Linked DNA regions of Rattus norvegicus. The protein of the gene in region 7 binds, or shares a complex with, the protein of the main gene of each other region. Links are inferred from orthologs where the notes say so. Each region holds a gene or a part of one and is shown on either strand. Other genes may lie near its edges.

Region 1 (4,619 bases), on a different chromosome or scaffold from region 7:
CTTTCAGCTTTCATACCCTGGTAAAACTGCATGTATGCAGGCACACATGCATTCATGAATGAGCACACACATACCAGAAAAAGATTTTTTAAAAGTTTAAGTATGAAATAACACTATACCTATTTTTACATAAAATATTTAAAAATCAAATTCATGGTATTAATAGATATCTTAATATAGGAATTAGCTGTAAATTGTATCATTTATTAAAACCCCTATTAAATTCTAAAACTATTTTAAGTCACAATACTATATAACCTTTTTCTACATGCAAATCTTAGTGACAAACTCTACAGCTATTAAAAAACTAAAAAGAACCAACATCGTCAGTTGTTTCCTATTTAGGGTAAGCATTTTCTGCTCTTAGGATGTTTTGTTTTTTCTCAGATAATAGAAAAAAGGTCTACTATATTTGTGCCTATATCCTTATGCAAAACATTGCATCCACATTAGTGTTTGTACGCTGAGATCTTTGTTTCTCTATTATATATTGAACTTGTATACACTAAGACTCTCAAAGAGAGCCCATTTAATAAGGTATTTCACCCTCAAACATTTCACATTCTATTATCTTCTAATACGTGAATCATATTTAAATATACAAGAAGTTTAACAGCACATGGAACTCACTGAAGAGAACCCAAAAAAACAGACCAGAAATGGTGATCTCTCCCCACACCCTCTATCTATACACTCCCATAGAAATGTAGTTTCCCTGCAGCACAATATTCTAGACATGTAACTTTTTACACCATTCTATATTACCTCAATTAACTTACACATCTGGCAAGAAATAAAAGTCAACAGTATAATTAATGTTTAGCAGTCAAACTCACAGTACTGTTAATAAAATAACTTACTATAAGCAATTGTTAAATCATTTCTTAGCCTACTATTAGGAAACAAGATCAACTGTGACATGAAAAGGCAAAAAAAACAAAACCTGAGAGAATCTGACATTCATATATCAGTCTCTAGCAATAGCTTTTAACTAAATGATGATGACAGCATTAGCCAAGTTTCAAGTGAGATGAACAATGATTCTAAGTAGCTAACTGTGCATTCACTTGTTACTTTGCAACATTTAAAAGCATTGTTAGACTTCAAAATTCCAAAAGCCTAAAGCAGTATTCCAGCAATCTTATTTTTAAATGTGCATGTTTTCTGAAGATGGGAATGTTAGGTCTTTGAAGTTGTGTGTAGATCAGCAGTTTCTTACCTGTGTGGTCCTGTTTCCATCCCCCCAAAGATATGTGCCACCGTCTGTAGACAGTTTTGGTTGTCCCGACTGTAGGAAAAAGGGCTACTGTCTTCTACTGAGTAGAGACAAAGGTGCTGCTAAAAAACCCTACAACTACCTAATCCAAAATGATAACAGGACCAAGATAGGGTGCCTGTGTGCACACATGCACACTTTTTCCACTTCAATGTTCAATCTATTCTGCAGCCACTACACATAAAGTAATTATGTCATAACTAAATTTATGTTGATAGCTGCAGAACCAACCTACATACAGAAGATGCTTAATAAATTAATAAAGCCATGTATTCTATGCATAGTTATTTTAAATCAAAATCTGCATTGGATGACTCCCAGTACTAAATTTCAGCTCAGGAAATAAAACTCTTAAGATTTTGAGGCTATGTTTCTAGATAAATGAAAGTATTTGGAAATTCTGCCAAATGCTTTTCAGGTTTCCTTATTACTGAGAAAACTGAAAATCCAGACAGTAGATTTTTGTCATCCGATTATGCTACACAATTTAGGAGTAGCTATTAGAATAGCATAAAATAAAAGTTAGGTGCATACACATCTTTCAACAAAAGCAAATCTTTCAACAACAACAATAACATTGTGTCCTACTTAATACAACACAGATACAATCAGAATCAAACATGAATACTTGAGATACAAAGTAACTCAAACACATTGGTTTAGGATCAAGTTTACTCGATGGTAACAACGTAACAATGTCCTCATAAGATAATAAGGGGGAAAAAATCTCAGAACAGCAGTGTGTACATGGGAGATTTAACAGGTTCCCTTCTCAAGATTTCACAGAAATGTCCGCCCAGGTTTGTTTGTCATGGAGATCCAAAGGAGGATTTTGATTTGGCACCGTAAGTCAGAGGAGAAAACCCCACTTCAAATCATCCAGGCAAACACAACTACTTCCCCTGGCGTGGCATATCCCCTGGCAGTGCACAAACTTACTTGGCAAGAAACCTCCCTGTAAGTGGCTGTGAGAAGTTAGGAGTCTGGGCGTGAGCTGTGGGAGAGTCCGTCAAAGCAGCAACCTGAGCATTTGTTAGAGTCCTCCATACAGCAGTCTAATAATGATGGAGTCTAATAATGATGGATGCGCTCCGGCCAGCGCGGCCGAATCGGGTGTGGGACACCGAATAGAAAAACCTATGCCCAGGCCCGAGAGGGCCTGAATGGGGACCAGCAGGAAAGGACAGAGAGCAAGAGCCGAGACAGGGCCGCTAGGCCGGGGCCGAGGGGATGGCACCCACCTGCGCGACCTCTTCGCCATCCTTCAAGTACCGCATAGGCGCGGGCTGGGCGGGGACGCGGGTCAGCCTCCTCCAGCCTGGGGCGAGTGCGCCCTCTCCGAGACCCACCCGCCGCTTACCCCGCTCCTTCCCTCAGGTGGCCGAGAGAGCGGAACGCAGGCCCCGACAGGTCAGGGCCAGGCGGGACTGAGGGACAGAGGGGCGGACCAAGACCCGCTGCTCCTAGCCGCGGCCCGGCCCGGCCAGGGATGCCCTGGACATGTCAGGAGCCGTGCTCCCGCCCTCCGCCCGCCCCTCCCGCCGCCTCCGCCTCCGCCTTGGAGCTGCCGGCCCTGCGCGGCTCCGTCACGGGCGCCGACCCCCGCCCTCTCCCCGCAGCGAGCAGCTCTGCAGCACTCGCAGCCTCCTGCAGGGTTTTGTCCGCACCGCCGAATCTCGCGCCCAGCCTCCCTCAAGAGCCGCCGTTTGAATCTGCGCACGCGGCCCCGAACCTCATTGGCTGGGGCGGCCGCGCGCAGGGGGGCGGGGGCGGGGCGGCGAGCGCGCGCGCGGCGGAGGGCGGGGTCGGCGGGGCTAGAAGCCAGGACTGGAACTCGCGGGAGTCCGGGAGCGCCGCGGAGCCAGGGGGTGGGGAGGCGAAGGCGCGAGGCCGGTTCACGGGCCGAGGTGACAGGACCCGGAACGCTGTGTGAGCCAGCCGCACGGCAGTGGGGCGCGCGGAGGTTGCTGGGAAGGCGAGTTTCTGCGCTCCGGGGAGTGAGCCGGAAGAAGAGCCGGGCCGACCCAGCCGCTGCCACCTCGGGAGGAGTGTGGAGCGTGCCTCTGGGGCGGGGACAGTCCGGGTTCTGGGCAGGGGAAGACCTCGCGGGTGCTGGTTCGCGCGCCGTGAGCCTCGCCACTTAGGGGCGCGGTCTTCTACTTAACCTTCTAGCCAAGGCCGTTATTTTTTTAAGCATGTGTGAGTTAGTTCTACGCAGAAATGACAAGGAAATTGGCCAAGTCCCTTGTTTTCCCCAAAGATGAATAACAGTGTGACAAGGGTGACGTTGTTATCTAGAGGCTTGCGTGGAACGGGAATGGGTTGGTAGTGCTCAAGAAGCTCAACCTCGTACTCCATCTACAAAGGGGGCGGGATGCTCTGCGTGGCGGAGGAGCCCAGAGTCGGGGAGGTGCGCCTCAATGCTGGGATAACTGGAATCTTGCGTAGGGGAAGGAGCTTCTTACAGTTGCAACTTCTCTTAACAATTGGAATTACACGGTTAAAGAAGCAAGCAAGGAGATTATTAACTACAGTAATGATTAGACACGACGAGGAGCCCAAATTTGCAAGGCACCATGCTCTACTGCATAGAATGCTGAACCACAGATTAATATTATAACAAACTGACATTTTTGCTATTTTGAAACTGTACGCATCGTCTTTTGCAAATCAGAGACAGATACAGGTGCAGATACAAATCAAGATGAGCTTGCAATTCGTTACAATCAGGTAGACACACGCTCTCTTTTTTAAAAGAACTTCCTTTTTCTCAAGATAGATTTTGGGAAGGAAAAGCGCTTCTAAATTATTTTCTGGGTTCCATAGTAACTTCTACAGAGAGACTAATTTAGATATTAATATTTTGAGACAGGTGTTGTTATGTTACCCCAGTCTGACCTCGAACTCACTGGACTTACTTCATGATCTACCTCAGCTTCCCCAGGGCTAGATGATAGAATGCTCCTCCTAGTCTTCAAATGGGTATACATTATTCCACTTTTATTCTAACAGGGAGCAAAACTATGATATGCTTAGGTTATAATCAGCTTTGTACAACCAAACTACCTTTTTAAAAGTTGAAAGTAAATGAGTCAGATTTTTAAGTAAAATTTATTCTCAATGTTTTATATAAGGAAACATTCTCCCAAAGATAATATTACTTTTGTATGCTACTGTATAATTTATGTTTAAGAAATCTAAAAAATACAAAATTATTTAAATCTTAAAAGAAATATGAAGTAGGAAATTAAAATAGTTTACAGCCATTTACATACAATAGCTCAAATGTATCAAACAGATTTGAGAGTTTTCTTTAAAACTAAAACATTTAGGGCTGAGTTCA
Region 2 (3,867 bases), on a different chromosome or scaffold from region 7:
ATTACCTACAAAGAAAAGAGCAGGTTCCAGGGACTTCTTGGCTAATATCAAACATGACAGAAAATAAGAGGAAACATTTATCTTTTTAAAAGGCCAGATTACCCTAGGAGCAAAATCAGACAAAGCTGTGCAATAAAATTCCAATCAGCAGCATGTGAATAATCACAAAATTCCTCAACAAACAAGTAAACCAAACGTGCAATCCAAAATTGTTGCCATAAGCCAAGAGATTTGCAAAGGTGATCTGACGTGAAATCCAACTAATGTAGTATACGATGTCATTAGCATAGCAAACCCCACAATGAATACAGAAAAGGGCCTTTAATAATATCCAACACCTTTTTATCAAACAACAATAAGTAAAATCCTTCACCGGGTGAGAGCGGCCTACCTGAGGTCACTCACAGGTGGGGTGGAGAGAGATCTAATGCCATATTCCGATAGGGAAAGACTAGTTAATTATTTTCTCTGTAAGGCCAGGAAGCATACAAGGATTTCTGCTTTTTACATTGCACTGGATGTTCTAACCATGGCAATTAAGAAAGACAGGGAATTTGGACAAGTAATAGTATAATTATTAAGACCGCATTATCTGCCCATCAAAACAGTTGACACAAAATATGCTTAGAACCCAGTAAGAGTTTCAGGACTAGAGACAGCTGAGTGTAGAGTGCTTGTCTTGCATTTTAACAGCCCTAGGTTCAATCCCTGCACCACAAAAAACAACCAACTTAGCAAGGTTGTTGGATACTAAGTCAAGGCCCAGAATCCAACTGTTTTCTGAACTCTTGGAATGAGTACATCAAAAACGAAACAGCTACATGTACAATACCATCAAAACCTACAGGAAAAACAACAAGGGGGAGACTACGTGTTGAAAGTATGGGTCATTGTTAAAAACTGAAGACCTAAACAAATGTGAGAACACACCACGTTCCTGAAGGAAGACTGACCCCTACATGACTGAATTCTCCAAACTGATCTACAGATTTTCACGTGACTTTTATGACAGTGACAACTTGATTCTAAAACTTTTATGGAATTCCAAGGGACTCAGAATAACTAAAATAATCAAAAATAAAATAAAATTAGGACTCGTATTTTCCAGTTTCAAAATTTATAGAAAAGCAAGAGTCATTGAGAGTGTAAAGGTCTACGTATGATGGACAAAGATCAACATAGTCAAATAGACGGTCTTGACATAACCCATGTGTCCACTACATGACATAACCATGTGTCTGCTAACACAAACATGCCAAAACCATTCATTCAGTGGGGAGATGGGGCTTAAATAGTGGTGTGGTGGCCAGAAAGCAACACAAAAAGAGTGAAGCTGGACTTGGATCTCATACCACATCTAACGATGAGTCAGGAACTCTGGAATGCAGACTCTTCTAGAATCTTCTAGACAAGGTAAAGCCTCACGATACTGGATCTCAAATTTGGCAATGAATTCTCAGGGCAAAAACTCCCTCCCCCTCCAAACATATAGTAAATCTTTTTTAAGTACTAATGGGAAACTAGAGGAATTAAGAACTTTATATATTAAATAGGGATATAAACATGTGAACCATACTCTGAGAAGTAGCCTGGCAGTTCCTTTGTGTTTAAACATACAGTTCCCATATGATCCACAGATCCATTTCTAGGCATTTACTCTGAGGGAAACGGAAGCCTGTGTCTACACAAATTTCACCCACAATGTATACAACAGTGCTGTTCACAACTGTGAGGAACAACCCACATGTCTATTAATTGATGGATAAAAATTACTGCCCAATGTCTATAAGCTGGATTGTTCTAAAGCTCTGCTGACAGCACATATTTGGGATATGAGACTCGGTGAGTGGTTATCTAAAAATGTTCTAGGGAACAAAGGGGCATCATTGGCTTTCCAGTACTAAAAATAGTACTTACCTTTGCCATCACGTAAATGGCACACATTAACAACTGGTCCAGATGTCTGTCCATCATAAGTTCAGGACACTGGACTATAGAGAATTCAAAGCAGGTCCAAATTTTTTTCCTCAGTTCATCTGAAATATCTAGTTTTGTGCAAAGGTCTCGAAGGCGGACACCAGCTAAGTAGTAAACCTAACAGAGAGATAAGAATATTTCAAACCGGGGTTGGGGATTTAGCTCAGTGGTAGAGCGCTTGCATAGCAAGCACAAGGCCCTGGGTTTGGTCCTCAGCTCCGGAAAAAAAACAAAAAAAACAAAAACAAAAACAAAAAGAATATTTCAAACCTTGTTTAATGCTTACACTTCCTGAGCCTGTGCTCCAGTAAGGGTACATGAAAGGTTACCTTTCTAAAGAAAAGTGATAAGGAGCTAGTCTTCCGAGGCCTGATACTGCTGCTGGTTAACGGCTGGCCTTGGTTCTGCTGTTGTCCTCCAGGGGAAATTTGTTGAATGGCCACCGGACCGGGGACTTGCAAAGTTGTTCCTGTCACCTGTTGGGAACTCAGACTTCCAGCCAGCGCTTGAGCACTGAGGGGCTGGATAGAGCCAGTCACAGCCTGTGCCTGGCCCCCAACATTCACTTGGACTGGGAAGAATGTTATCCCTCCATTTTCGTTGGCAATACCTGCGGTTTATTACAAAGAAGAAAGAATGGTCGACATGAAGGTTTTATTTCCCCCCGCCCCCCGTCTTCCATCATTATCTTACATTGACACTTCCCAAACTTAGGTGACTTTCTGACAAATGCCAGAGAACTCAACCCCTAACCCTGCCTTCCTTACCTTGTACTGGAATGGTCACTGTTTGTCCATTGTTGGCTGTGACAGTGGCTGTTGCCATGGTGACCAAGGTCTGTCCAGGAACTGGTGTGACAGAAACAGTCTCCCCAGATACATTCTGCACAGGGACAGCATTGACTAGGGGTTGTGGGGGGATGCGCCCAGCCGTGCTTCCTTCAGAGGGACTGTCACTCTCAAATAGCCGCCTTCTAGTAGTACTGACTGTTGGGGAACTGTACCTGTCATACAATGTGGTTGGAGATGTCACACCTACGATCAAAAGAAATCAGACTATTTAACAAAGAGACAGTTCTGACTTCTAGCTAAGCTCTTGTTCAAAAGAAATTCAGTGTGTTTCAAATACTTCATAATTTTAAAAGCAAATAAAAAGTACAGAAGTCATGGTACACCCATATTCATCCTAGCAGGAATGTAACTGAAAGCGTTTCATGAAGGAAATGCTATGTCCCACAGTGCTCTCTTTCTGGTTTTCTTCCCATAAATGAAGCGAGGCCCTGTCCTCAACCGCCTTGTCCCTTGCTGACTTTGATGAAGAGGCCGGTTAAGGAATCACTTACTTTCCCCCATACTCAAGTCTTTTTTTTTTTTTTTTTGGTTCTTTTTTTTTTTTTTTTTTTGGAGCTGGGGACCGAACCCAGGGCCTTGTGCTTCCTAGGCTAGCGCTCTGCCACTGAGCCAAATCCCCAACCCCTCCATACTCAAGTCTTAACAAAGATGTTACCTAGCAGGAGACAGGATGACCTGCCTGCCATCCTGCGTCCTGTGGTTTCTCCTCAGCCTTCAGTGAATGTTCAGCCTTTTTCCGCAAGGGAAGATGACCAACCCCATATTCTTCAGCAAGATAGACATGTATGGTTTAGATTTAAAACTTAGTTTTAAACAGCTTTATTGAGACATGACTCATGTACCATACATTTCACCCAATGGCTTATATATTTTTAAATTGTTGCAAAATATAAAAAAAAAACATTATCACCATTAGCCATTTTTAAATGCATACATACAGCATCGTATAACTATTACCATTCTTTCTTAAACATTTGTCTTTTGAGACAAGGCCTCTCTTTGTAGCTCTGGGTATCCCAGAACTCACTATTTAGCAAAA
Region 3 (4,453 bases), on a different chromosome or scaffold from region 7:
TCTCTAAGTGTCTTCCCATTTCTGTCTGTCGCCCCACCACCTGTGTGCTGCTGCTCTGGACCTGTTTGCTCCCCAGAACTCTTCAGACTCCCCCTTGCTGCTGTCACTGCTCTGCTGATGCTCTGTGGTTTATCTCTTCATATTACCAGTCTAGCTTGTAAACCGTCACCTGAGAGGAGTTCCTATTGGATGAAAGACTCTCCCAGCTTACTGAAAAAGTTAGCCAAATAGCTTGTTTATATAGTCAGAAATGGGGTGTGGCAAGGATGTTTGCACCAATCACAGCCTTTCTGCTCAGCCATTACAGATGCTTCCCCCTCCACCCCACCCCCACCCCCTCCCATCCTGGGTGAAGATGGTTACTAGAGCTTACTAAAGCTTGTGATGGTAAGAGGTCTGGTGCAAGCTATTGAGATACTCATGCCTTGGGTATTGCCTTCTGGAACGGTAGCTGTGCTTTAGCAATAAGCTGCTGTGGTTACAGTGTTGCTTCCTCAAAGCAGCTGAGGAAGAGTTCTAAACAGGACAGCAGCTTGAGGACTGTTCAGTCAAATGCTAACTCGTCTGACCAAGGAAGCTAGGTAATAGAGAAAGATCTGTTTGGGAGTCAAATTTGGCTTCTCCACCCCTCAGAATAAAATTTGGTCGCTCACATTAACAGTTGTCTGATAGTACTGAACAGCGCTCTGGTCTTTAGTCCCATATGCTTGGGAAAAGTTGGGTCATTTTATCTGAACCACTTGGACTGATTTGCAAGCCACAGTCTATTCTTCTCCCAGGCTCTCCAGCTTTAGTCTTACACATACATACACACACACACACACACACACACACACACACACACACACACACCTGTCTTTCAGGCTGCTCCCTCTGACTGCCCAAGTTCAGGCCCTGTGGCTGTGGAGGTCAATAGTTGAGCAGAGGTGGGGGATCTTGTCTCTGCATTGTCCAATATGCATCCTAACAGCCTTTACTTTGTTCTGTATAAATGTACAAGACTCCTCCCCCTGTGGTGCACATGCAGGTACTTTAAAGCACGCTCAGAACTGGTCATTTTTTTCCCTTGTGTGTACACACTCACCTATTCTTTTCAGTGTGCAGGCATTAAACATAGGTATCCATATTTGTATGCACAGAGGGTTCTCTTCTATATATACGTCCAGGCATGCACACACACGACTCATACTCCATGAATACACACGTGTCTGTATAGCGAGACTATGGATATACACAGGTGTGCACACATCATCCTTTCCCTATGTGTACATGCAGGTATGGCACACACCACAGACTTTTCACCGTTGGCGCGCGTGGCACACACACATACACACAGAGGCAGACACGTGGCCCTCTTCTCCCTGCGCATGCACACAGACATGCATACAGTTGGCCCTTGGTGTACACACACAGAGGCGCGCACACACGTGGCCTCTCTCCGAGCGCACATGGAGGCGCGCGCAGCGCTTTTCAGCGTCGGCGGCCGCCACACGCGCACGCGCGCACAGGTCCCTCCCCTATCCCAGGGCGGGTAGCACCGGCGAGAGGCGCGGGAGATGAGCGGCGGGAGGAGGAGGAGGAGGAGGGCGCCGAAGGCGCGAAAAGGCGCGCAGGCGCGCTGCGCGGAGCGGGCCCGCCGCCGCCCACGTCACCGCGCCGCGCGCACGTCACGCCGGCCCGACGCTCGGCCCAGGGTGAGCCCGCGTCCCGGCGCCGCTGGCTCAGGGCAGGGACCGCCAGGGCCGGACCTCCGGGCCGGCGCCCCCGCGCCCCCGTCGTCCGCCCCGCGCGCCCCGCCGGCCAGCCAGGTGTGGCGGGGGCACCGGCCGGTCGCGGCGGGAGGGCGCGGGCTGGGCGCGCGGCCCCGTTCCCGCCCCAGCCCGGTTCCCGCGTCCGGTCGCATCCCGCCCGCCGCCCAGCCTCAGCCCGGAGTCGGCCTCGACGCGGCGTGGCGTGGGCGGCAGGCAGGGGTCCTGGCCACCCTCCGGCTCTGTCCGCGCCAGCGCGCGAGGCTGGTGGCCGGGCCTAGTGACAGGTGGGGCGGCCGGGCGGCCGGGAGCCCACCTGTCAGAGTGGTCGGCGGCACCTCGGGGTCTTGGGCAGCCCCGGGGCCTGCTGCAGCCCGGGCAGAACCACGCAGTGTCGTGTGCCTAAGTGGGGGGCCTTGTGACTCGGTGGGGCCTGTGGTCAGGCGGGGCCCGCGTGCCCAGGTGGGGTGAGCCTGACGGCTGCGCCTCGCTCCGCCAAGGGGCCGGGGTCTGGCCCCTCTGCGGGTGGGAGCTGCTGGTGCCCGCAGGGAGCATTTCCATTTGGAGAGGTGACTTAAAATCCCTGTGTGGGACCTGCTTGGCTAGCTCTCCTGTTGGGATTGTGCAAGAAAGGCCCCTGCTGCCTGGAGGCCTGCCTCGTGCTGGTGGGGAGATGTTTCCTTTGAAATGCGATGTGCGTTAAACTTCTTTTTTTTTCATTCTCATTCATTACTCGTCCCCTTCCTTTTTACCAGATAAGTCCGGTTTCTTCTGTGGAGGGTACGCAGTTAAAGCCTTGATTTCCTGGATCTGGTAACATGGCAAAAGATGTAAGTATGAGTTCTGCATGCTGCAGACATGTTAGCATAGCTCGCTGCAGTTCTCTCCCTTTATTTGAGAGTGGCCATACCTGCGTGGCAGTGGTTTGCTCAGACATTTTACAGGCAGGAGCTGGGATGGAGGTGAGGGGTGGCCAGTCAGTAGGTGGGTGCCTCCCCTCCGCACAAATGTTCTTTGTCATCTGAAGCCTGGCACGTTTTTTTTTTTTTTTTTCTTTGTGGTTAAGATGATGATGTCTGGATTTTTCTTTAATCTATCTAAACCGCTTGAATACAAAATTTGTGTTTGAATGCATCTCCCAGTTGAAATGAACGTGTGAGGGGGGTATTTTGCTAGTGGGTTTCCACGAAGGAGAGCTGTCAGCATGCAACTTACGATGCATTATGCATGAAACTTAACTTGTTTTATGTAGTATGTAAGACCGTAATTCCACTTTGATGGGTTGAATCCCAACTACTTGTTTGGGCACATTTTTCTCTCAGAAAGATGACGTTTGGTGGTTAATGAAACACGGAAACGCTGGTTGGTTAAGCTTCGTATTTACTACAAAGCTACTGAGCATTTGAAATTTCTTTTTTGAAATGGGTACTGACAGTTAGGCTTTTAGGGGGCAAAAATACAGTCTGTGATTTTGGTCACATACATGTTCGCAGTATTACTTTATAACTCCCTCCAACACTGATCGTGCCTGTGCCAGTGTTTCAGCATTCACTGTCCTTTGACTATTAGATGAGTGTAATTTTCTGTGCAGCCCTGAAAATGCAGGCAGATAATACCACATCAGCTAGACTTGTACCCAAGTGCACTGAAACTGTGGCGCAGGTACCGAGTCTTGTCCTGACTTAGAGGCCCAAGGATTTAGTCATGCCTAGTGGCCCACCTGGATCAGACGGTGTCCGTCTTATGGTCATCAAGCACTGGACCTGCTCTTGGGAGTCGAGTTCCACCCTGAGAGACCGTGTGTAGGTCACCTGAAGTCACAGCTGTATGTGGCGTGGGGCTCGATTTCGTTATGTCTGTTGTTTGCCTGCCTCCACGTCCTGACTCTTCCCCCCGTGTGTGCCTAAGGAGAGACGTGCCGCTCAGTGCGTGCCCACAAAGTAGCTAGGTCTGGTAAACGGTGTGTAAGCAGGGCACTGGCTCCCGTGCCTTCGTTGAGACCCCATGGCCTGGTGTGGTTTCGGGGATCATTGCATCTTCTTCAGTGATCTTCAGTGAGTCAGCATGCTCCAAGTCCTGTCACCTCAGTTTTGCATCATGCACTCCTGTGTGCTGTGTCCCTGGGGAAGGGGTGGGTGGGTGGGTAGACACCATGATGGCAAGTGGTCAGGATGTCCTATCCAGTGGAGAGTGTGAGGCCAGCTGGTTTGGGGTTAGCCATTGTGGTATGGTGAGGCCAGTGCTGTGACTGGGTAAGAGCGCTGCTGCTTTGTCCCTCCACAAGTGCGCACAGACCTGGGCAGAGGCGAAGCGGCTCCCCCTGTTCTCTGGCTGGAAGTGGGGGTTGCAGGGTTGGGCCTTCCCTGTGCTTTTTCAGTAGGATGCAGTATTGGGGTTTGGAAAGGGACTTTGTAACCTGTGCTGAAGGGTAGGAAAGAGGCACCACTGGAGCTGTGTAAGCACTTGATGCTTAAGACGAACTCTGGCTGTAAAGTGCACTGTCGACATGGGGCTCGGAAGGCCATGACGCTGGCGAGAACAGAGGGGCAAAAGTCACGCTCTAGGTCTCAGAAAGGGCAGACAGAAGACAAATAGCTTAGGGGCTTTTCTGCCCCTGCTGGTGCCCAGGCAGAGCATCGAGTATGTTGGGCTCCCTGTGGACTGTGGGCTATGGAATGGGGCAGGCAGGAGCTGGCAGACGAGCA
Region 4 (2,815 bases), on a different chromosome or scaffold from region 7:
CATCCCCAGTACTTTTTGTTGTTGCTGGTGACATGCTCTCATACCACTGAGCTGTATCCCCAGCTACATTTACACACTGAGAAATACCAATCAGGATTGCATTGCTGAAAGATCATTCCATTTGTGAGAATAAAAAGGATGGGTTAGTGGGTTTAACAGGCAATAGCCCCTGCATGGAATAAACCAACCCACCAGGGAAGATGTGCCTTCTGGTGCAATAGTGGCATAACTTAGGAGGGTAACCAACCCCTTTACTTGGCTTTGAGATCAGCCCCACAGGTATAATTCATGCCTGATACTGTAAACCTTGCAAAAGTCCATAGCTAGAGAGATCGTTGATCCTAGGGGAGAACTTAGTACTGTTGCCTTGCTAATTAATATGCTTATCAAACTGCCTCCTAAATTTTCATGCTTACATGTTGCTTAGAGAAAATGGCAGGAGTCAATGCAGAAATTCCTGATAAACTGCTGAGATTAGGTTGAGTGCTCAGCCCAAGGTTCAGGAAATATAACTAAAGAGGGTATACAGAAATATTGTACAGTGGCCTGTGGGTTCTGATCCCAGGCCTCCTACTATGGCAGTCATGGGTAGAACTGAAGAAGAGAGATCACCAAGAGGCCAGTTTGTTGAGGAAGCATAAGTAAAGTCTCACAACAGGCCATTCTGATGTTCTGCTTCCTGAGTCAGAACTCACCAGACATTCCAATCTGTTTCCTTTTTACAGTGTTTTGACGCAGCCATTATAGATGGGGAGGTGGCAAACTTGGCTGTTTGTTTTGGTTCTTTGATTTAAATGACAACATAGAAAAAAAAATTGTACAAACCATAGGATGGGAAGAGTGTTGTGAAATACTGTCTTTTGGATACAACATGGCCATTGTACTGTGAACTCACAAGCATCTATGGTATCTATACAAGACCAAGCCATCCAACTAGCTGGAAAAGAGGCAGTCACTTTTCTTTGGATCTGTGCATACATGGAGTGCTAATTAGAATGAAGAGAACATGAAAATGGAAGAGAAGGTACTAGGAGGGCAAAGGGGGTCATTTTGTAAATGGTCAAAAAGAGCTGATTGTGGCATACATTCTTTAATCCCACACGGCAGGAGGCAGAGGCCAGCCTCGTCTACAGAGTAAGTTCTGGGACAGCTACATAGAAACCCGGTCTTAAAAAGGACAAAACAAAAAACAAAAACAAAAAAAAAAACACCCCCACATTGTATAGATATCTGAAATTACCAGTAGATAAATAAGATATAGATAAAATGTTCTAAAAGATTACTATAAATCTAAAATTAAAATGGTGTATAGTTTTTGGTGTGCTGAAGATGTAAGAGGGATGAGAAGGTACTAGGAGGGCAAAGAGGGTCATTTTGTAAATGGTCAAAATATAGAGAGCTGGCTGTGGCACGCATCTTTTAATCCCATACAGACTTCACAAACTTTACCTAACCCATGTAAGGTGGGTAGCAGAACTGGGATGATACAGAGGTATCTCAAGCCTGTTGGTGATTAGAGCTAGCTGATAAGAGTCCACAAAGAACTTGAAAGGCAAACTGGAAGCAGGATGGTTAAGTTCAGTTGAGGTGTCCACCAGATATGCAAGTCGTCTATGGCAGGTGTATAGGAGACTGGGTAAAAGATCTAGACTATGTAGAGGCCGAAACTCAAAATCAGCTCCCTAGAGCTGAGGCCCACCCCAGATATAAAATGGTAAGTACCAATGTTTAAGGAAGTATCAGATGCCAGTGAGGCAGAAAAGCCAAGAGCTGACAGTGAAGACAGAGGAAAGAGCATCAGAAGAGACCAAGAAAGCACCAGGCCTAGACTCTTAGAAACCTGCTGGGCCAGGTACTACACCAAGAACAGCACAGCTACAGCCCTGTGGTGGAGGATTAGCTGACAGACACGGGTGACCAAGGATTACTTTTTAAAGGCATTCATACGTAGAAAGGAAAACAGAATGGTGAGGTGAGTACGAAGAGCAGCAAATCTCAATTAGTGAGGCTTAGTGATGCTCCAAGTGGTGGCAGGAGGGGGGATGAAGTCCCAGAAACGGGCAAGAGGCACAGGCACTGACCTGGAGATTAGGCATCCTTGTCTGGCTGGCAGAGAGCAGAGGTTAGCAGGAAAGGAACTGCCAGCTCCAAGACTCTCCTTGCTGGCCCCCACCCCTCAGTAAGTACTCACCGCCTGTGGGGTCTGCCTTGATGGGCTCAAAGGAGGTAGAAGGGTTGGGTCCAGATGAACTGCTGCTGCTGCTGCTGCTGCTGCTACTGCTGCTGCTGCTGCTGCTACTATCCAGTAGTGCAGAGGACTGCAGAGGTCGAGTGTCCAGTGCTGTCAGGCCCAGTGGGAGTGAACTGAGTTCACCACTGCCCTTGTTCTCAGTTCCAGGGCTACCACTCACTGCAACCACATCCCCAAACCCAAACACAGAGTCAGGAAATAGACCCTACACCTGCCATAGGCTAGATCCTATGACCAGGATGACCACAGTGCTGGTAGCCAAATCCAAGGAGACTTAGTCACCACTAGTTACCAAGAAGCACTAGAAAACATCATTAAAGATAGAGCACATGTCCTGGAGGAGGGAGACTCATGGGGTTGCCAGGATCCATCAGACACTGTCCAATCTGGGATAAACTACCCTACTAATGCTGCCTATATAGTCAAAGCTTCCTTGTTAGAAAGGGCATATTCAGGCAAGTGAGATCCTCGTGAATTAAGACACTCATGGACAAACCTGACCTGAGTTCAAATCCCAGAAATATGAAAGGAGAGAACCAATTCTTTCAAGTTGTCATCTGATCA
Region 5 (4,561 bases), on a different chromosome or scaffold from region 7:
CCTGTCCAAGGAGCTACTTGATGTCTGTCCATTTACATGTAGGGAAAACCCCTTAATACTGCTGTTCAAACCCCACTTTCCCAACCCTCTCCATCTCAAGAAATTGCAATGTCACAAACCTCAGTTCTTTGAATTGTTTACTTTTCGTTAGTTTAGATTTGTGTAGGGTCTAGCATTCCATAAATTCTGCATCCACTGGCATTTACACAATGGCTGCCACCATTTCTACAGGCCCCACTTACTTCTCCCCAGATTACTCTGCTTGTTTAGTTTTGCCTCTGGGAGTCACTGTGTGAACTTTTTATACACATAAGCACATCTCCTGCCTTAGTCGAATTTAGTATCATCTCAGATAAAACCACCCTGGATTTGAAGAAGAGCTATATGCTCTCTTTGATTCTAGAGACCTCACACATCTAGCAAAACTGGCCTTGCACCACATCCTTCCAGACCCTACCTTTTAGAAGTCTTGTTCTCAGTAGACCTCCACAGACACCAAGATGAACCTCAATTTAAAAAAAACAAAACAAAACAAAACAAAAAAAACCGACAAAAATCCTACCAACACTTTTTTTTTTGCTAGTAAGAAAAGGATGTTTTAGGGGGAAAAAAAAAATCACACATGCTAGAGAATCTCTTTTATTATGAACACAGTTCCTTAAGGTATGTGAATGTGTTCAAAACTTAAAATGCAGTTAAACCTGAAACTTCGAAATCAAGTAAGAGGCCAGGCATAGTGGTACATTTTTTTTTCTTTTTTTTCTTTTTTTCAGAGCTGGGGACCGAACCCAGGGCCTTGCGCTTGCTAGGCAAGTGCCCTACCGAGTGGTACACTTTTAATCCCAGCATACTGGAAGCACAGGTAGGAAAGCAAGAAGATGGTGAGTCTGAAGCCAATCTGGGCCATACAGTCAGACCCTATCTCAAAAAAGGAAAGAAGGAAGAAAGGAGGGAGATCTGGTAACATTATTTTTAATATAATCTAGTCATGCTTTTTAGTACTAAAGACTGAACCTATTGCCTTGTTCATGATAAGCAAGCTCTCTACCACTGAACTACATCCCTACTTTTTATTTTTCATTTTTAGATTTATTTATGTGTATGACTGTTTGTCTGCACAGTATATATGTGGAGCACATGCATACCTGATGTCCATGGAGGTCAGAGTCACAGTTGTGAGTTGCCATGTAGATACTGGGAATAGAATCCAGGTCTTGGGGCTAGAGAGATATAGCTCAGTGGTTTAGAGCACTGGCTGCTCTTCCAGAGGTCCTGAGTTCAATTCCCAGCAACTACATGGTGGCTCACAACCATCTGTAATGGGAGCCCTCTTCTGGTGTGTCTGAGGACAGCTACGGTGTATAAAGTACTCATATACATTAGATAAATAAACCTTAAAAAAAAAAAAAAGAATCCAGGTCTTTTGCAAAAGCACCAGGTACTCTTAACCACTGAGAGCTATCTCTCCAGCCCCCTGTATCCTCACATTTTTAAAAAGATTTATTACCTATACACTGTTCTGCCTGCATGTACCCCCGCACACCAGAAGAGGGCACCAGATTTCATTACAGATGGTTGGGAGCCACCATGTGGTTACTGGAAATTGAACTCAGGACCTCTGAAAGAGCAGTCAGTGCTCTTAACCGCTGAGCCATCTCTCCAGCCACTCTTCCCTTACTTTTTAAAAGAAAACTTTTTATTTGAAGGTGGGTGGTGGTGGTTTGTGCCTTTAACTCTAGCATTTGGGAGGCAGAGATAGGAGGAGCTCTGAGTTCGAGGCCAGCTTTGTATAAAGAGCAAGTGCCAGGACTACACAGAGAAACCTTGTCTAGGGTTAAAAAATAAAATAAAACAAAACCCAACAACTGCCAACTAAACCCCAACTTTGTATTTGAGACACATTTTGCCTACAATTCATTCTGCAGCCTAGACAAGCCTGAAGCAACAATCCTCCTGCCTCAATCTACCAAGTAGCTAAAATTAGGGGTCACATACCAAGGCCAGTTTCACTTTTGGATGAACGTTAACTTATTTATGGCCAAATGCTTTACAGGCATTATTCTAGAACCTAGGATTAAACGTATGAAATAAGACAGACTTGGAATTTATAATTGGGTGTGGCCCGGGCAAAGTTAATAGACAAGGAATATACTGAGATACTGAGTAATGACAGAAGAGAATTCCAAATGCTAAAGCAGAACCGCGAGCAAAAGCATACGGGTATAACGAAAACACCTATTTACCACCTGAGACGAAATACAAGCAGAATTGTTCCTGCCCTCAGTCTAAGGAAACAACACATGAAGTAGAGGGAGTGATGGTTTAAGGGTTGAGAAGCGTGCGAAACTACATTAACAAGGCTAATTTTCATTCCCTCGGGAATCAGGGTAAGGAAACCAGGTCCCCGGTTCCCTGCTGCCAAGGCAACGGTCCTGAACTGAGGGGACAAGCATCCTTCTCTCCCGGCTTGGTACAGGGATGAACCCTAGACCTCATGTCAGTCACCACTCAAAGCTATAGAGCTTGAGAGACTCGTCTCAGCTCTACTGAGAACAGAACCAACACTCCAATGGGCCTGTTCAAAAAGAAAGTTCCCTCCCTTTCCCCTCAGCATCACCGATGGGCCGGAGCGACCTCTGTCCTTTTCCCGGATAGGGTCTCACCGGTTGGTGGCCTCCTTCACCTACCTAGTACACAGCGGGGAGACCTGGTACCAGGCACCTGCTAGCTGAAAAGCCGACACAGCCCAAAGAAGAGAAGTGGGAGAGAAGGAAGAGGGGCCCAAGAAAAAAAGCGTAAGCGTGAAGGCTGTGGAAGTTCCCAGAGGAGCAAATAATGAGACTACAGGCCAACAATTTCCAAGCCGGCTCTTACCGTCTGTGGGAGACGCCATCTTCCAGCCCATGTCACGTGACGTGGCCAACCGTCGGCGGGAAAGCGAGGATCCGCAAGCCACGCCCCTTACAGGGGTAACCTATCCTTAACTCACAGCCCGGTCTCGTTTCCCTATCTCATAGGGTAATATTTGCCTAGTCCCACCCTAGACAGCAGCCCTACCCGCGAGTGGTAGTTAAGGTGAAACTCAGGCAAAATTCTTCAAGGACTTTATTTACTTTCCTTAGCAAAGGGGCGGGACCTTGAGGGCCTACCTATAGCCAATCGGAGTTCTCGGTTAGGGGGCGTCTTCCCCGTGTGCTTAATATGCAGTACCAAGTCTAGGGGGCGTCTCCCTATCTCCGCCAACAAAAATAGGCTGAAGTCAGAGAAGAGGAAAACGCTTCCGCCTTTGACCAATCACCTATCCCCAAGGCTGGGAGTGATGGGTGGAGTCAAGAATCCTGACACATGATTGGTTATGAAAAGTGCCCCTTCCCTCCAATGGAGAGGCTAGGTTGTGTTCGGGGCGTAGCTTAGCGCTGTAGCTTCTAGGGAGGCACTGGCAGCGGAGGCGCGGGGAGCTGGGCAGAGTCTGGTGAGCCATGGCGGCGGCAGTGGCGGCAGCAGCAGCAGTGCGGTCCCGGATCCTGCAGGCGAGTGAGGGTGGCGACGAGGGACCATGACGTTAGAAATGGGTCCTTTCCGCCCGGTCTCTAAACCATGCTTCTGCTGGACAGATTTCTTGGCCCAGACCCTTCTTTGCAGACCCTTGTGTTCCACCAGACCCGTGTGTTTGAGCTGTCACTCCGTATTGCCTGGCCCGGGAATCCAGCCCCGGACGGTCACGCCTGGCCCACCCCACTTTTACTCCTGATCCTTTCCTTTTCTAGCTCTGACCCACCCACCTTCAGTCCAGCTCAGTCTTTGCTATCACCCGCGGGCTTGCTTTCTCTCATTGGTTCCTCCCACGGACTCCCTTTCACCTCTGTGCCAGCCACCTCTGGGCCCCAGAAACTCCTTTTGGTTACTGTTTATAGAATACTTTCCTTTGCCAGGAGCGTCCCTTCCCCCATCCAGCCTCTATGTGAGGTAAGAGGGGGTAGGAACATGGAACAAGGGTCAGAGAAGAAACTTTGAATCTCTAGACATGTACCCTGGCTTTTCACATCAAAGGCAGCCATTTGCTAGCGTTTACCAACTATTCTGGCCCTTAGTGTTTTTTTCCCAAGCTCTGGGCCAAGTTAAACTTTCTCAGCGAAGTTAAACTTTCGAGATAAATAAGGGCGTTATTGTTTTGCTAACGCTACTAAACATTCCCCAAACAGGTGGTAGAAGATGAGACCCTAGGAAGACACGTTCCCAGAGTCAGTTCTCAAGTGCCAACACACCCTCCACTCTTCTAGGCTACGATTTTAACCGCACAGAAAGAAGCCAGCCCAAGGGAAGTTGTAGAGCTACAGAAGCCTCAGGCCTGTGGTCCCGGCTTTGATTATAGCCTTTCCCATGTGTTTGCATCGTAGCACGGACTTAGAATCTGACACAAGATTTGCTCTATTCCCGGCAAGATTCTTAATCCAGCATTAAGCAACGATGTCTTTTATTCATCCAGCCTAGGAATGTCTCCTGTTGCACTTTTATATAAAATTTTATGTCTGTTCATCAGGTTTTTAGGAGTTCTACTGCA
Region 6 (4,345 bases), on a different chromosome or scaffold from region 7:
TTCTTTACCTCTAGAATTACAGTTTGGGGGAAGTCAGTGACTCAGTTTCTCCATCTGCTACCAGGTAATACTTAGCATATAACTCACTGGATTCTTAAGATGATCAAAGATTTTTATGAACTGTTTTTGTAGATGAGGAAACGGGCATGGAGAAGTTTGATAGTTTGAGATAATGGACCCGGGGAAAGGTGGGCTAGGAATCAACCCCTGGGAAATACGGCTGTAAGCCCACTAGCAGTGCAGAGCCAATGTCCACATGAATTTCTTTGAAGGGAGAGAGGTGGGGGAAAGCCTTGAATTATGCCTGGTGGAAACTGGTAGCTTTTAAGTCTTCATTCTGCTGTAGTGAATGAAGTTTTCAGAATTGTACTGTCTAAAGGTGGCCAGCAGTTTTTCTAAAGAGATCTGAGGTCTGAGCCTAAAGGACATTTGGCTGGGGCCCTTCCAGGAAGTCCCAGTAAGATGACTCTCAGTATTTAGATAGTAAATGACAGCCTAAAGTGGACAGCCCTTGCCATCAGAGCTTGTCTTAGCCATTAGAAATTGAACCCGGGGCTGCTGGAGTCCCAGGATGCTCACAGTTCAGCTAGGGAAATGCACAAAGCAAGATGGACAAGAGACCCCAATGAGGGGAGATGTGGGGAGTTACTGGTCCAAATAACGACCCAAACAAAAAGCTGGGAGGCCAAATTTCGTCTCTCTGGGCTCGGTGTGGTGATCTGGAAGACCTTTACAATAACGGAGTAACAAGTTTAACCCAAGAGGAGAGGTTTAAGTTTGGTGAGAGGAATGTTGGGATTTTGAGCTGGGTCCCTCTGAGGCCGCGGAAGAAGCAAGAGTTGCAAAGGAAAAGATGCAAACCTAGTCAAAGGGAGCATGGGGCCTCTGGGGACAGTCTAAGCAATGACAATTTGGGCGGGAAGTTTCTCCCATTCAGTTCTTTCAGTCTTTGCTATGTGTGTTCCTGGGGGACTATCTAAGATCCACACAGAGCCGGTCCCCGCGCCTCATTGAATCCCAAGGTAGGTGTATCTGGACGTAGTAGATTCCCAACCGCAGCTGGAGCATCTGCCGGCTTGACTAGCACTTTCGGTATCAGCCCTCCGGTAAACTACTCCCCTCCTCCCCTCCATGGGCTCCGCCCCTCCCAGGCTCCTCCTAGGGCCCTGGCGCGCCGGCTCCGCCTCTCGTCTCTAGTACGCCTGGCCCCTTCCGTGAGCTCCGCCCCCGCGAGCTCCGCCCCCGCGCTCGCGCGCCAGGGCCGGGCGGCGCCGACGCACTTGGCGGGAGATAGGAAAGTGGTTCAGTGCGCTCCCTAGGCAGCTGCAGTTCCTGGGAACGTGCGACAAGACCTGCAGACACGCTGACGCCTCAGAGCACCGCCTGGGGCCCGGAGCGGCCGGTGCAGCCTGAGTCCTGACCCCGGCCCGGCTCCCGCTCCGGGCTCGGCCGGCGGGCGTAAGGGCGCGGCGGGGTCCGGGCCGGGGGGATGTCTCGGCGGACGCGCTGGTGAGAGGCTGCGGGCGCGCTGGGGTTTTCGCCCTTCTCCTTGGGTCAGCAAGCGTGAGATGGGGATCCCGGGAGAAATGCACCCCGCGCCGCCGGGTGCAGGGGCGCGCGCCACGTTAGAAGCTCTAGGGACCCCTCGATCGGTTCCCGGGCCTCCTGGGCCCGGGAGCCTGAAAGCGCGGGTTCCCCCTCTAGACCCGGTCCCGGCCCTGGGTGAGGTCCATCGTCTCCCGCCTAATTGCTGGGTGGGGAAGGAAAGCTGTTGCCCGCGGTGTCAGCTGGAGGCCCATTACTGGGTAGGGAGAATGTCTCCCCTTGTCGCAGCGAGTGGAAGGCAGAAGTCTGGGAGACACTTGTCGTTCAAGAGTGGCTCGACTTTGCTGGCGTTCTTTTCTTGTTAGCATTCCGGGAAGCACAAAGCCCCTGGGCCCTCCGCGGGATGTGAGGCTGGGGACTCGTTGTCTCTTTGGGGATTCGGCGGCCGGTTCGGTTTGGTTTCAGAATTCCTCTTCCTGTCCCACGCTAGTTTTGGGCAACCGGGGATGAGTAAAGACTAATGGTGTGCAACGAGACTGGTCTGTCAGCAACCGCTGGGCCAAAGGCAGGAACTACGTTTCCCTCCTAGTTCCCTAGAGGTTCGGTGGCTGAGTCAAGTCTGGACCTTTGGTACATCTGTGTATCTGGGGCCTAATCGCGGGGCTTTCTAAGGAGTGGGATAATAGGGTTCCGCTGTGTTCTCTTTGGGACTCTCCAATTGAGAACACCTTACTCGAGTCTTCAGATGGCCGAATCAAGCTTCGGTTGAGGATAAGGAACAGAGATGCCTGCTTGCTTACTTTCAGAGTTCCTCGGGCCTGGGGCGGGTATTGGTTGGGTCCGTGGGCGCTGATCAGTGTGGTTCCCCATGCCCCAGTTTCTAGGGCAGTTCAGTGCCCAGGAAGAGCGTCTGGAAGTACTACTCCGAGAGCGCCGGGGTTTACTGGAGGGACCCTTTTGTGAAGCACGGGCTCAGTGTCCCTGCATCCTCACGTAGCCTTTCTCTGCCACATGGTGTAACTCCCTGTACCCCAGTGGCCCATTTCCCTCTTGGCCTCTGACTCACCTTTCCCTGGAGCATAGCCCAGAACGTACAAGGGCATGAGAAATGGTATGTGTATATACAAAAATGTGACTTTTCTTTAAACAGCACACAGGCCTCTGCTTTTTCATGCTATGGTTACCAGGGAGGTTAGGGTGTAAAAGTGTGGAGTTTGATGTGGCATAATCTTTGTTGGCCTCACTTTTCACATCTGTTAAATGGAGCCCTTGAGAATGCCAGAATGCATGTGAATGATGGATACTCCCATCTGTTTAATAGTGTGACCCTGCCGGGTGGCCACACACACCTTTAATTCCAGCACTCAGACAGGCGAATCTGAGTTCGAGGAGCAGCATGGTTGGTTTACAGATGGAGTTCCAGACTACATAGAGAAGCTGTGTCTCAAAGAACCGCCCCCCCCCCCCCCCCCAAAATAGTGTCACCATTACAGGGCCCTGAGGCTTCAGAGCTCTGCTACACAGATTTTTTTTTTTTTCCTGCGACATTGGCCAAGCTCTAATAGAATCAGGGCCTTGTGCTGGGTTTTGGAGAAGCAGACTCAATTGTTAGGACTTTAGAGTGGTAGGCAGTGCATGGGTCGGGTCAGACATGACTGAACAAAACTGCGTTGCTAGGTCTAGGAACGTCTTTTCATTTTGGTTAGGGTTTCTAGAATTGTTTAGTAGGCGGTATCTTTGCAAGGATTCATTCATTCACAAATCCACTCCTTCCCTGGGCAAATATTTCTTTAGGCCTTTTCTGTGCCAAATTCCAGGATGTGAATGAAGGTGGAGCTGACCTTTGTGGGTGATGTCAAGACCCGAGGTTGGAACTGAGGGCAGGGCCTGGCTTTCCAAAGTGCTTTGGGTGTGTAGGGGTGACTGGAGAGGCTGTGAGGAGTGTGAGGGAAGAAAGGGGAGGGGTGTGCAGACACCAGCAGCACACTTTGGGGCACAAAGTGTGGCCTGTCTTGCTTGTTTGGAAACCTCCTCTTTTCCCAGTTACATGACTGACTTCACCTTTAGTGTTTGTTAGAGGTGACCCAGTGCAGGCCCCGGGGAAGGATTAAACGAGTTCTGGGAATAACTGGTTGTTTTCCTTTCTTCTTTAGTTATGTACTTGTGTGTGGCTATGTGCACTTGGGTGTAGGTGCCCACAGAGGCCAGAGTCCCTGGATCCTTGTAGAGGTGGGAATTGTGGGAAAGGGGGTTAGAGGTTAAATTTGGATCCTTGTCAAGAGCTGTGTGTTCCTCGACAGAGACAGCTCTCTAGTCCCTAACGAGCATTCCTAGAACTTCATAGTATGATCTCCTTTCTCAAAACCATTAAACTAGGTAATAGGACAGCAGTCAAAAGGCTCCATGTCAGCCAGGCCGTAGTAGACCCTGCCTTTAGGTAATCCCAGCAGGGAGACAGAGGCAGGCAGATCTCTTGAGTCTGCCGAATGAGTTCCAGGATAGCTAGGGCTACACAGAGAAACTGTCTTGAGAAACAAATAAAAACAAACAAACAAAAAAGAACAAAAACTTCCATGTTCGTTCTTTGAAGCTTCCAGACGTCAAATCATTGTATTCTGAGGTCTTTGTTTTCCGTTAGTTGTGCCCGTGTACAGGCAAGGATTGGAAAGGGACAGGCAGGAATGAATGAAGTTCGGCTTGGTGAGGTGGAATATGCCTTTAATCCAGATCAAAAGAATGGAAAAAGTTATTGAGGACATACCTAAGAGGTTTAAAATTTTGCATTTTTGATGATTACAGG
Region 7 (3,867 bases):
AAACGTAATGCCAAGAGAAATATAACAGATCACGTCATTACTTCAGTGTTTGTGTGCATGTCTAATAAATACTATGAAATTCGTGATTACTTAGAAAATGTAATAGAAGAAGTCCGTCCTCCTGCAGCAACAACTGCAGGTCAAGTGGGCTGAGAGAGTAGACATCCTGATGTTCTACAATGGAAGCCGTAACATTACACTCAAAGACCAAGAAGAGAGTGAGGACAAGACAAGGTTGCCTAGACAGGGAGAGATGCTAGGAAAAGAAACAACACCCAAGAGATTCTCCAGCAGACACAGACGTGAACAGGAGGACTGGAGCCGAGCACAGGTATTGCTAGCCACATGGTGAGACATAATGCCAGGGTTAATGGGAGTAAACTAGATGGCTGGCTGAGACAGCCTTGAGTTCAAGGCTGGCTAGGCTATATAGAAAGACTCTGCAGACAAAACAGAAGAAGAGCGTTCTCTGTATAAATCTTATTAGTGAACACACACAAACGCACAGGAGCGTGCACACGCTGTCAGTCTGCCTGAGATAATTAGTGAACACACACAAACGCACAGGAGCGTGCACACGCTGTCAGTCTGCCTGAGATAATTAGTGAACACACACAAACGCACAGGAGCGTGCACACGCTGTCAGTCTGCCTGAGATAATTAGTGAACACACACAAACGCACAGGAGCGTGCACACGCTGTCAGTCTGCCTGAGATAATGAAACTGCACAGTTTCGAATGCTCCTTATCTTTCTTTCTTTCTTTTTTTCTTTTTTATTTTTTTTCGGAGTTGGGACCAAACCCAGGGCCTTGCGCTTGCTAGGCAAGTGCTCTAGCACTGAGCCAAGTCCCCAACCCCATTCCTTATCTTTCTATGATTCAGCCCCAGTGCTTGAAGTGCATGAGACGAGACACTGAGTCCTCTGTCACAGAAGGCACTGCCTATATGAACTACTACTTTGTATCTGGATGCCACCTGTAATAAGCTGTACGTCACATTTATATATTAGAGAGCAAACATTCGATGTTGGTTTATTTATAAATAGCTACAAATCAAGGAGGAAGTTGACAACAAAAGATAGTGTATTTCCAGACTCATATGGTGGCATCTAAAAAAAAAAAAATGATGTGACGTTTAAAATATACCTGGTTTCTGTGTTTTTCTACATTGGCACAATGACATTTGTAAGTCTTAGGGAAGTAAATTAGATACTTGCCACTTTAGAATGAAAACAAATGGTGTAAAGTTTTCAAATACTTAGAATAAAACGCAGTTAGGCTCAGATCCACTGATGGTACGCTTAGCACCCCTGACATCCTCTCCAGTCCTCAATGGTACCCAGCGGAGCCCCTTCCCCACAAAGTTACTTCAGCATTGACATCACAACTCACTGTAGCTGTTTATTATTACCCAAGTACTAGCTGAAGAGTAACTAACCACATCCTACCCTACACTAAAAACTTGTATTTATATCCATACGGGCCATAAAAGTCACCAATGACTACTCTGTTGCCAAGTGTTTAAGGCGAAATCTTCACTCGCCAAAACTCCTTGCTTGTGGCTGAAGGCAGAAGTCAGTGGTAGAGCTCCTGTCAAACCCCAGTACCAAACGGTGGAGGGATCCTGGACCTGCCTGCCTAGGACCACACTGGGGAGGCAGAGGCACGAGGATTTTAAGATTTTTTAGGTCCTGGGCCACCCAAGGCTACATAGTAGACTCAGTCCTAAACAAGCAAAAGGAATCTGATTAGAAAATCAATCCTGTATCCACTGAGAACCTATTGTCTGCTTGGGGATATGTGAAAATCAAAATCCTTGAAGTTACTTGTAAGACCACAGAAGTATTAACCACAATTTGGCATTTGGGGCTCATTTTCTTCTTTTACCTTATTTGGTGACTTCAAAGGTGAGATGGCTATCTTATTTGGTGTCTGTGTTGTAGAATTTAAAGTTGAGCCAATAACACCACTTTCTGATATTGTTATAGTCTTGGATGGAGTTCCAGGAGCAGACTGTGAAAGAACCCTGCCTGCAAATGAGAGGGAATACATCAGCTGATCAGTTACAGTACTAGTTAAAAACTTACACACAGAGCGATGATGTCTAGGTATGAGGGTCTTAGTTAGAGACATTGATGAGGCCCTAATGAACAACAGGAAGAAACAACATAAAACTTCTTAATAATGTCTGATTACTTAACAGTGCCCCTGAACCACAGTTAAGCCATCAGAGAGAGAGCTTGGGGCAACTCAGCAGAGAGAGAGAAAGCTTGGGGCAACTCAGGACTTGGGTCCCAAGTCATCTTTGTCTCTGTACCGGGACAACAGCTATCTTCCTATCTGAACTAAAATCATGAAGGGCAAAATTAAAACCCACAGTTCTGCAGGGAAGACAGCGTGGTTGGCAGAGTGCTTGCCTAGCATGCAGGGAACCAGGAGAACCTCATAAACGAGGTAAGATGGGACACCACTAGGGAGTAGAGACCTGAGGATCCAAGGACTTTCTCAGTAGCAGAGGAGTCAGCCAGGAATATGTAAGATGTAACTCAAAAAACAAAACCGAAAATCATACAGACACTTACAAAACAGCTATTAGGGCCAGAGAGATGGCTCAGGGGTTAAGAGCACATGCCATTCTTACAGAAAACCAGAGTCAGATCCCATGACCCACATCAGGAGGCTGCAACCCCTTGTAACTTTACCTCCAGGGGGTCTGATACCCTCTTCTGGACTCTGACACAAACAGATAACAGTATACAAACAATCAATATAATTTCAAACATTTAAAAACTATTTAAAAGTACTTTTTAAATGTTTCTTTAGGGGGCTGGAGGGATGGCTCATTGGTAAGAGCACTGACTGCTCTTCCAGAGGTCCTGAGTTCAAATCCCAGCAACCACATGGTGGCTCACAACCATCTGTAAAAAGATCTGATGCCCTTTTCTGGTGTGTCTGAAGACAGCTACAGTGTACTCACATGAAAGAAAAAGAAAGAAAGAAAGAAAGAAAGAAAGAAAGAAAGAAAGAAAGGAGGGACGGAGGGAGGGAGGGAGGGAGGGAAGAAGGGAGGGAGGGAGGGAGGGAAGACAGAGACAGAAATCAATCAATCCAGGGGTTTTGTTGTTGTTAAGGAATCTGCTGGATTTTCCTCCAGGGACCATCTGATTTCCTCCTCCTTACTATTTGTCATTTAGTGTGTTCTCAGGGTCTGGCTGCTTGCAGGCCAGGTGCACATAGAAACTAGAAGACAGCCTGGAGAAGTCAGGTCTCTCCTACTCTGTAAACTTAATACTGACAGGTCAAAGCCAAGAAATGAAACCAAGCAAAGAATATTTTAAGCAAGGATGTGCCAAGACCAAATCTATACTTTAGAGAATCAAGGTATACCTTGGTAAATCCATCCTCAATGAGAAAGCCCCAATTTAAAAAACAATCTTAACATATTTTGAAAAAGCATCAGCTGCACTAGGGAGCCTGTATCAGAGGACCACTGTGAGTTCAAAGCCAGCCTGGGCTATAGAATGGGCACCAGGCTAGTTAGGGCTATAGAGCAAGATCCTGACTCCCACCCTCCTCTGCAAACTAACACATTGAACATTTTGTCTGCAATTTCAAGGCAAAGCTGGGACTAACTTGCAACATGCTATAAATGATCAAGGACTGAAGAACAGCACCCGAGACAGCTTTGGATGTTGTTGTTTGATATTAATGTAAATTGCTACCAGAGTCTGAGACACAGACAACCTTTCTACTAACTGAACTATGTTCCTAACAGAGCCTTTGAAATCTAAATATCTGAAATGATATAGTTACTGCTAATGGTACACTTTAAAGTATATAATAAAAAGGAACTGGGTAACATTGAGG

The links.
Region 1: Lin54 (region 7) and Mybl1 share a complex: the UniProt entries of both Homo sapiens proteins name them as parts of the DREAM complex. The link is inferred for Rattus norvegicus from reciprocal best matches to the Homo sapiens genes LIN54 and MYBL1.
Region 2: Lin54 (region 7) and Rbl2 share a complex: the UniProt entries of both Homo sapiens proteins name them as parts of the DREAM complex. The link is inferred for Rattus norvegicus from reciprocal best matches to the Homo sapiens genes LIN54 and RBL2.
Region 3: Lin54 (region 7) and Tfdp1 share a complex: the UniProt entries of both Homo sapiens proteins name them as parts of the DREAM complex. The link is inferred for Rattus norvegicus from reciprocal best matches to the Homo sapiens genes LIN54 and TFDP1.
Region 4: Lin54 (region 7) and E2f4 share a complex: the UniProt entries of both Homo sapiens proteins name them as parts of the DREAM complex. The link is inferred for Rattus norvegicus from reciprocal best matches to the Homo sapiens genes LIN54 and E2F4.
Region 5: Lin54 (region 7) and Lin52 share a complex: the UniProt entries of both Homo sapiens proteins name them as parts of the DREAM complex. The link is inferred for Rattus norvegicus from reciprocal best matches to the Homo sapiens genes LIN54 and LIN52.
Region 6: Lin54 (region 7) and Mybl2 share a complex: the UniProt entries of both Homo sapiens proteins name them as parts of the DREAM complex. The link is inferred for Rattus norvegicus from reciprocal best matches to the Homo sapiens genes LIN54 and MYBL2.

What each region holds. Positions count from the first base shown.
Region 1 is NC_086023.1:14,364,043-14,368,661, reverse strand, and holds the start of Mybl1 (myb-related protein A), read right to left. Parts: upstream 2,895-4,619; 5' UTR 2,538-2,894; coding exon 2,518-2,537; intron 1,289-2,517; coding exon of another isoform or gene 1,220-1,288; intron 1-1,219. UniProt on the Homo sapiens protein: Transcription factor that specifically recognizes the sequence 5'-YAAC[GT]G-3'.
Region 2 is NC_086037.1:32,061,720-32,065,586, forward strand, and holds part of Rbl2 (retinoblastoma-like protein 2), read right to left. Parts: intron 3,012-3,867; coding exon 2,745-3,011; intron 2,588-2,744; coding exon 2,307-2,587; intron 2,095-2,306; coding exon 1,918-2,094; intron 1-1,917. UniProt on the Homo sapiens protein: Key regulator of entry into cell division. Directly involved in heterochromatin formation by maintaining overall chromatin structure and, in particular, that of constitutive heterochromatin by stabilizing histone methylation.
Region 3 is NC_086034.1:82,900,222-82,904,674, reverse strand, and holds the start of Tfdp1 (transcription factor Dp-1), read left to right. Parts: upstream 1-1,508; 5' UTR 1,509-1,694; exon of another isoform or gene 1,695-2,317; intron 2,318-2,503; 5' UTR 2,504-2,566; coding exon 2,567-2,578; intron 2,579-4,453. UniProt on the Homo sapiens protein: Can stimulate E2F-dependent transcription.
Region 4 is NC_086037.1:50,087,285-50,090,099, reverse strand, and holds part of E2f4 (transcription factor E2F4), read right to left. Parts: intron 2,411-2,815; coding exon 2,192-2,410; intron 1-2,191. UniProt on the Homo sapiens protein: Transcription activator that binds DNA cooperatively with DP proteins through the E2 recognition site, 5'-TTTC[CG]CGC-3' found in the promoter region of a number of genes whose products are involved in cell cycle regulation or in DNA replication.
Region 5 is NC_086024.1:109,828,600-109,833,160, reverse strand, and holds the start of Lin52 (protein lin-52 homolog), read right to left. Parts: upstream 2,913-4,561; 5' UTR 2,906-2,912; coding exon of another isoform or gene 2,894-2,905; coding exon 2,875-2,893; intron 1-2,874. Other genes in the region: Aldh6a1 (methylmalonate-semialdehyde/malonate-semialdehyde dehydrogenase [acylating], mitochondrial precursor), read left to right, coding at 3,480-3,530.
Region 6 is NC_086021.1:172,123,510-172,127,854, forward strand, and holds the start of Mybl2 (myb-related protein B), read left to right. Parts: upstream 1-1,295; 5' UTR 1,296-1,489; coding exon 1,490-1,509; intron 1,510-4,345. UniProt on the Homo sapiens protein: Transcription factor involved in the regulation of cell survival, proliferation, and differentiation. Transactivates the expression of the CLU gene.
Region 7 is NC_086032.1:9,456,879-9,460,745, reverse strand, and holds part of Lin54 (protein lin-54 homolog), read right to left. Parts: intron 2,031-3,867; coding exon 1,888-2,030; intron 1-1,887. UniProt on the Homo sapiens protein: Component of the DREAM complex, a multiprotein complex that can both act as a transcription activator or repressor depending on the context. In G0 phase, the complex binds to more than 800 promoters and is required for repression of E2F target genes.